Linked DNA regions of Cricetulus griseus. Each later gene encodes a partner of the first gene's protein in a complex. Links are inferred from orthologs where the notes say so. Each region holds a gene or a part of one and is shown on either strand. Other genes may lie near its edges. The genes, in order: Bbs4 and Bbip1.

Region 1 (3,811 bases):
GCCAGTAGAGAGAGCATTGGAGCCCTTGGAACTGGAGTTAGATGGTTGTGAGCCACCATGTGGATACTGGGAGAGTAGTATACTCTTAACAAATTGAATCACCTTCAACCTTCCAAAATAGTATTCCTATGAAGAATTTCTGTGATCTGCAAAAAGACCAGTTACCTAGTTATAGATGCTGGGGGCAGAGTGGGTAGGTGGAAGTTAGCTTATTACAGATTTTATCTTACTAACCCTTTACTTGCTTTTACCCATTTGGTAATGACTGGTTGGATTAAAAGGCTGGGCAGTGGTGGCACATGCCTTTAATCCCAGCACTCAGGAGGCAGAGGCAGGCGGATCTCTGTGAGTTCGAGGACAGCCTGGTCTCCAGAGCGAGTGCCAAGATAGGCTCCAAAGCTACACAGAGAAACCCTGTCTCGAAAAACCAAAAAAACAAAAACAAAAAAAATAAAAATAAAAGTTATCCAAAGGCTTTCTCTAATGTGTTATCTTATCTCCTCCTCCTCCAGTTTTTCTGATGCCAGCCTTTTCTTCCAAGAATATGGTTTATTTTCTGTATTTTCTTTTGCTTGGCAGCACTGATTTTCCGCCTGGAAGGAAATATCCAAGAATCCCTGGAACTCTTTCAGACATGTGCTGTTCTCAGCCCTCAGTGTGCTGATAATCTCAAGCAGGTGGCCAGATCTTTGTGAGTATTGGAGCAGTCACAGAAGACCACATAAAATCCTTACTCCTAGCTGGGTGGTAGTGGTGCTTACCTTTTATCCCAGCACTAACGAGACAGAGACAGGTGGATCTCTGTGAGTTTCAGGCCAGCCTCTTCTACAGAAATAGTTTTGGGGGGCAGGGAGCGGCACGGGTTTCTCCTGAGCCAGGCAATGGTAGCATACGCTTTAATTCTAGCACTCAGGAGACAGAGGCAGATGGATCTTTGAATTTGAAGCCAGCCTGGTCTACAGAGCAAGTTCCAGGACAGCAGGGCTACACAGAAAAACCCTGTCTTGGGGGAAAAAAAAAAAAAAGGCTGGGTGGTGATATCACAAGCTTTTAATCCTAGCACTTGGGAGGCAGAGGCAGGTGTATCTCTGTTAGTTCAAGGCCAGCCTGGTCTACTAAACTAGTTCCATGGCTACACAAAGAAACCCTGTCTTGAAAACAAAAAAGAAAGAAAGAGAAAAAATAAATGAATAAAAAGGCTTTCTCCTGAAATGCATTCTAGGGAGGGCCTGTTGCTGGCATCCAGATCCCTGATAAGTAGAAGGCTGGTGAATAGTAACTAGAGCAGACTTCAAAAAGAGCATGGATTAATCTGGAAGTCAGATAATATTAAGGAACTCAGATCTTTCTAGTTAGATGAGAACACTGTTTGTCATAGTGTGTTATACCATAATGCCTCTATAATCATATGGGCAACTCATAGCCTATTGTTCTGATATTTAGTAGAATATTTGACATATAATAAGCTTATGGTATTTTGAGTCTATGGCCTGCAAATTTCTAAGTGGAAACACTTCTGAAGTCTTCATCAACTTCTTCTGAGTGGCCTAGTGTCCATGCGGTGCTGTCTCCATGCTCTTCCCTCCATTGCCATTCATACTTGTATCATTTTTACATAAAAACTAGTTCTCTCTCTTTTTTCCTCCAAATTCATGATCAAGGAAAGAAACTTGAATTCAGGAGGAAAAGACATGCCGTTACTGGATGAGGTTGATAAATGATGGCAGTTCATGCTTAATGGCATGTCATTTGACTTTTTTTGTTTATTTTTATAGAATGTTATAGGAAGTAGTTACAGAAGAGTACCACCAACATTGGTATGTATGAGACTAAGGTCTTAGAACAACTGAGGATGCAAACCCTGTCTCCGGAGCTTCTGTTCTTGGGACATAGCACTGTCCCTTGCCTTTCCCATAAAACCAGCTCAAGTTCTTTAAAAAAAATTCAGCATTTTTTAAGACTGTGGAATATGAACTTGTAGAGTTAATCTTAAAGGAGTTTAGGTTTAGCTGGGTATGGCAGTACAAACCTGTAATCCTTGTACTTGAAGATGCTGCCATGAGGATCAGAAGTTCAAAGTCATCCTTGGTTACACAGTGAATTGGAGGCTTGCCTGAGTTACATGAGAACCTGCCTCAAAACAAACCAAAAATAATGAAATATGAATAATTGTAGGCAATATATTTTCACAGATTTCTTCTGGGAAAACATAAAGCCGCCACTGAAGTTTATAATGAAGCAGCCAAACTTAACCAGAAAGATTGGGTAAGAAATGCCATTTCTTTCTTAGCATGTTAATGGTTCCATTTATCAAGTGGCTTTTTCTTTGGAGCCAGGGTTTCATTATGTGTATAACCCTGGCTGGTCTCAGATTCATTATGTAGAGCAGGCTGGCCTCAAACTCAGACAGATCTGCCTGCCTTCTGCCTCCATAGTGACCAGCGCTTGGATAGATTCTTAGATGATCAAACTGTCTTCTTGATTTTTTTTTTCAGCATGGCATTTCTACATAACTTTGCAGGCATTGTTGTATAGCTTCCAGCTGTTAGTGTTGCTGATACTTCCTCACTGGTCTGGTTCTTGCTGTTATCCCATCTCATTTCCAAGAGCTTTAGGAGCTGAGTTGTTTTACCTTTGGAATTTGAAAGCATCAGCAGTAGATGTCTTCACTGCATTTTTTTGTATTTTCCCCCTATCTACCTGGCAATCAGTCAGCTGTTTCTTTTGCCTTTCTTTGGGTCATGATAATTTTAAGTGACTCTTTATTTTCCTTCCATCATCTTCCCTTTCTTATTAGTGTATATTAATTGTAAAAAAACAATGGTTTTCACTGTGACATTTTCATAGTTTGATCATAGTCACCTCCTGTATTTCCTTATTTCCATCATGTATTTATATAAGTTGGGGATTATGTACAATACAAAATCAGACTAAACATTCTCTTTACAAATTAATGGATCCCCCCCCCCACCCATGAAAATCCACATCACTGATTTTGGCATTCATTTGGTAGTCCTAGAATTTCAGGGCTGAGACTTACTCAAGGCTAGTTAAATGGTGACTGCTGTAGCTCAGAAGTATTAATTCTTAGATAAGGAGCTCCAAGAAGCAAGCAAGAGCAATCCCTGATAGAGCCTGTGTTTCAGCCGCAGCCTTTAAAAGGAAAGTACCATTTAAATCTTCAATTCAGCTGGCATAGGACTCCCTAGTAAAGTGTCTGTTGTACACTGATTGTCACTTCCTATCAGACACAGCAGCTCTGTGGCTTTTAACTTGCCTCTCGTTTTCTATTATTTTACTCTTTACACCCATTTTTACATCTTTGCATTTCTCAGTCTTATCTCCCAGATCACTGTTTTTGCTATTAGCTGTATATTTCTAGTAGCCTATCCTTTCTCTTAATTTCAGTAGTTGTATTCTGATTTCTAAGTAGTTTGTCTTCTCTCTCTTCCTCCCTCCCTCTCGTCTCTCCCCGTCCCTCAGTCTGTCCTTCCCTTCCTCCCTCCCTCCCTCTTATTTGTTTGTCTGTTTGAGACAGGGTCTCACTGTATAGTCCTGGCTGTCCTTGCACTTGCTCTGTAGGCCAGGCTGGCCTCAAACTCAAGAGTTCTGCCTGCTTCTGCTTCCTGAGTGCTGGGATTAAAGTTGTGCACCACCATGCCTGGCTTTTCTTTTCTGTCCCCACCCCCCTTCTCTTATAGCACCCTCTCCAAATCTTAGTCTTGAAGTTCTGTATGTTTCCCCAATTATCTTTCCCTTTCTGCTTTCCTTTTAGTTCTTTTTATACTGTTGACTGATTCTTGCAGAGACC
Region 2 (4,374 bases), on another chromosome or scaffold:
CTGTTTGGACACCTCGACTTGCACAGCTCATCACACAAACCCTCTGAAAGGGAATGGGGGGGGGGGCGGGAAGGGGGAGAGGCGGGCAAATGACTGCCTGGGAGTCCTTATTCTTCTACCTAGGCATGGGGGAGGGGACGGGACAAAACAATGGATACCGAGGGGCTGGGGAAAATCGTTCTGCCCGGCAGCCTCGGGCGCTGCGAGCTGGGGGCGGGGAGTTACACTACTTTCCTCCTCCAGCCCGCGGAGCAGCACGGAGGCTGCCGTCGGGCATGTTCAACAGGGCGGTCGCGGCGGCCACAACTCCTTTCACCCGGCCACACACGCACACACACACACACACACACACACACACACACACACACACACACACACACGCACACGCACACACACGCACGCACACACCCAAGGCCATCCGCCGCTCTGCGCGCAGGGTCCGGTGGGAAGCGGACGGCGGCGCAGGGGAGACGCCCCACCCACCCGCGGCCCGCCGCGCCCCCGCCTCCGCCCGTCCCCGCGATCCCGCCGTCCCGCGATCCCGGCAGCCCACAGCCGAGCAGCCCGCAGCCGAGCAGCCCGCGCCAGCGAGCGAGCCACTGACCGTCCGCCCGGGCCCGCGCCCGAGCTCCGGCGCTGTCCCGGCCGCGCTCGTAGGCCGCCCGCTGGGGCCGCCGCTCTCTCGGCGCCCCGCCCGGGCCGGCGCGTGCGGCAGCGGCTGCGAGACCCGGCGCCCCGGGCCGTGGCGCCCCGGAAAGCGGCCGCGGCGCCTCCCCGGGCCCGGAGCCGTCAGGCCTCGCCCGGCCCCGGAGGCTCGCGCCTGTCAGGACGAGCCGGGCCTCCCCCTACCGACAGCCGGCCGGCCGTCCGCACCGCCCGGCGGGCAGCAAGGCGACAGCGCTGACCCAAGGGCGCCCTCCGCCTCTGCCGCCCCGGGCTGCCGTCTGGAGCCCGGACTCCACCATCATCCCCGCTCACCTCCTTCCTCCTCCTCCTCCTCCTCCTCCTCCTCCTCGTCCTCCGCTCCCACAGCGACGCTCGCCCCTGCCACCGCCCCCCGCCCCTCCCCCACTCGCCCCGCCCCTCCACACACTCCGGCTCCGATCGCCCCGCCCCGGCCCGCCCGAGCCAGCCTGGCATTTGCTGGGCACGGTGGATGGGCGGAGCCAGGGCAGACGCAGCCGTCCAATCAGAGAGGGACGTTGGTGCCAGCATCCCTCTCCCCCGCCCTCTTCCTCTCCTCCGCCGCTGTGCGCGGTCTGTCTCCCGCCCACTGGGCGCCGCTGGCTAGCTCCGCCACAGAGAAGGCCTCCAGCCGGCTAGAGGGGCAACGCCCCCCCCCCAGTCGGAAGTTACAGTCGAAGTCCCGGCAGCCATAATTGATACTGGCGCAGGAGGCGTTTCCGGCCTCCCGTTTGACGTACGCGCGCGCGTTTCCTGCATCCGGTCCCCGTTACCCCGGGCAACAGCGGAGCGGTCTGGGGAGGAAGGACGGAAGGCAGGCAGGCAGGAAGGACCCGGTAAGTACACCTAGGGCGGCGGGGGCGCCCTGACCGTCCACGGCAGACGGTTGCGTCGGGCTCGGGAGCTGCAGGGTGTGTCCGGGCCGCTGCCTGAGACGCCGGACCTCTTACCTGGAGGACGCACTCTAGAGCTTCAAAACTCCCTCGCGCCGGAAGTTGCGCCTGGCACTTCCTGACAGGGGCATAGCCCGGAGGTGGGCGTCGTCGCCCCGGCCTGCGCCCCGGGGATGCGGGGGTGCGGGGGTGCGGAGCCGGGGCTCTGGAGCGGCGGGGCGGGGTGAGGCGGGCGAGCCGAGCCGGGCGAGCCGCCTGCAGAGCGCCCGGAGGAGACCGGCGGGCCAGCGCCGCTTCCGCCGGCGGAGGGTGTTCTTTCCGGCCGCCGGGGCTGGGGCGGTGGCCGGCCCTCCCCCGCCCCTCGGAGGCTCCCTGTGGGGCGAGGCTGCCCGATCCGCGCCTGGGCTGGCCCGGAGGCCGCCCCGGGAGGGCGGGAAGGAGGGAGGGAGGGAGCCGGGCCCGCGCCTGCCCGGCCGGCCTGGCGAGCGGGCGAGCGCCTGACCAGCCTCCCGAGTTCCCTTCGAGTCCGGCCCTGACCTGCAGGGACCGCAGACTCCAGCACCAAAGAGAGTCCACTTCCACCCCAACTGTCACTTTCCACCTTGTCATTTTCTGTCCTGCCTCCCCTTCTGCAAGCAGCCCAGCCGTGCGTGTCTGTGGCTTAGCCAACAACTTAATGCTGGCGAATACCCTTTTAAAGAACACTTAGAATGCTCCGTGTGTCTCCTTCAAGACATTATCTCAAGCAGCTCCTTCTGTAGGCTTTTTGACTCAAGAAGTCAATTGTTCTAGTATTTACAGATTGAATACCTAAAACTAAATAAATAAATAAATAAATAAACACAACAATTTTTAGGTAAATTAAGAATTGCCGATACCTAACCTTCTCTACCTATGTCCCAGGCAAAAATGAAGTACTCTTGCCTCTTCTGAGGTTATTTAGTCTGATGTCACCTTTTTTGATTTTGTGTCCATGATTCTGTAGTGCTTGGAGATGTGTTTCCAAATTCTCTCCAACAGAAAGTGGTTTTCTCCAAGCTTATATAGCACTTCGGGCATATCTTATAATAGTCACTAATGTATCAGCTGCTCACATATTTTTAACTTCATGACTATGCTTAATGCCTGAATAGAATGGTCTGTGTGGGACTCACCTGCTCTGCACATAATAGTGCCAGGACAAAATGTTGCATCATTAGCTGTGTCCTGGACGTCTAAGACGCTCCTAGCAGTTTTACTGTTCTTCACTGTACCAGAGACTGAGCACAGTCCTTGGTTTTCAGTGTTTTCTGAGGTCTACCCTCTGAAATCTTCACAACATAAGCCCCTCCCATATGTTTTGTTGTGAAAATGTGAAGACAATACAAAGCTAAAAGAGCTAGGTGTGATGCACTCAGGAGGCTGAAGCAAGAAAATCTCAAGTTCAAAGCCACCAGGATACATAGTGAAATCCTATCTCAAAAAAGGATGGAGGGTAAGGGAGAGAAAAAGCTCAGCGGCTGTACAGTTATACACCGTTTACCTGTGTACAAGTGTTAACATTTTACTATATCCCCATGTCTTTCCTCCTCACATTCATACATTATTACTATTTAAAAATAGGCTTTAGGTCTCCTGTTAGGCACACACCCCTAAGATTTCCTACATGAATTTCCTAAGAATTTCAAAATAGAGAAACGTTAAAATACAGTATCATTACAACCAAGAAAAATAGCAATTTTGTAACATAAAATAGAGAATATACAACTCAGAATCCTGTCCAAAAGTGTTGAATTATACATGGACATTACCACTCTTTAACTTTGGAACTGTCCCCATCTTCTTCCCCTCTGTGACACTGACATTTGGAAAGGTCAACCCAGAGGTATTGTTAAAAAAGGATCCCTTCCCTTACTTCATGTGAATTAAAAGTCAGACCAGAGGCTTGATTAAGATTCTTTCTTGGGGCTAGGGAGATGGCTCATTGGCTGCTCTTTCAGAGGACCTGGGTTCAGTTCCCAGCACCCAGTTCTGTAATTCCAGTTCCGGGACCCAACACCAATGCACATAAAACAAAAATAAATAGAGAGACAAACATATAAAGAAAAAATGGTTTAAAAAATGATTCTTGTACATGACTACATTAACAGTATTCTTTTGCCAGTTGTGTTCTCAAATGCAACTGCCTGTACCCTTGCCATGTGTTATTAGCAAAGTTCATCCCATTTAGCACACGGAGGCTTTGGCATTTAATTTCCCTGTATATCGAGGATTTACTAGTACCCTGAGCTGGCAATAAAGACTGTCTCCCTTTAATAAATGTTGCTACTTTGCAATGACATCTACAGTAAATATACTGATGTCAGAATAGTTTCTTGAGTTTCAAGTCCTGGCACCCTGCAGACAGCTGTTGAAAGATGTGTAGCTCTGTAATTCAAATGCATGAATCTTGATGTTATCACAGCAGATGCCACAGCAACTGCTGTCCATCTGGCCACAATCCAATTTAGGTGATGTTATTTTCTCCCTGAAATTCTTCCGAAAGATCTAATTGGTCCTGTTGTTTCTATGATCACACTGCTTATTAAAAATTGCAAAATCAAGATTATCCTTTCCACTTGGTTCATTAAGAACATTGTCTGCCTGGTGGATAGAGAACTGTGGGATTCAGTTTAAAATCACAACAGGAAAACTCTCAAGAATCCAAAGCTCATGGGTCCCTCCTGCCCTACACTTATTTGCCACCTTGAAAGTGAAAAGAAATCACTTAGGTTAGTGTAGAATGTTTTAACTATAATGCTGATAGTCAAAATAACAT

Evidence for each region.
Region 2: the proteins of Bbs4 (region 1) and Bbip1 are in contact, whole or in part, in a cryo-EM structure (PDB 6VBV), measured with the Bos taurus proteins. The link is inferred for Cricetulus griseus from reciprocal best matches to the Homo sapiens genes BBS4 and BBIP1. Residues at the interface, in NP_001069424.1 of Bos taurus: Leu210, Leu213, Tyr236, Leu240, Ala241, Ser244, Gln247, Thr248, Ser269, Pro271, Asn274, Asn275, Met278, Phe281, Gly282, Lys284, Tyr298, Leu299, Pro301, Leu302, Asp303, Trp304, Lys305, Ile306, Tyr308, Asn309, Leu312, Leu315, Thr316, Gln318; in XP_003587939.1 of Bos taurus: Met7, Phe8, Arg9, Glu10, Val11, Leu12, Pro13, Lys14, Gln15, Gly16, Gln17, Leu18, Tyr19, Val20, Glu21, Asp22, Leu28, Lys30, Pro31.

Annotation. Positions count from the first base shown.
Region 1 is NC_048597.1:170,886,775-170,890,585, reverse strand, and holds part of Bbs4 (Bardet-Biedl syndrome 4 protein), read left to right. Parts: intron 1-579; coding exon 580-691; intron 692-2,192; coding exon 2,193-2,265; intron 2,266-3,811.
Region 2 is NC_048596.1:7,613,085-7,617,458, forward strand, and holds the start of Bbip1 (BBSome-interacting protein 1), read left to right. Parts: upstream 1-1,364; 5' UTR 1,365-1,520; intron 1,521-1,634; exon of another isoform or gene 1,635-1,845; intron 1,846-4,374.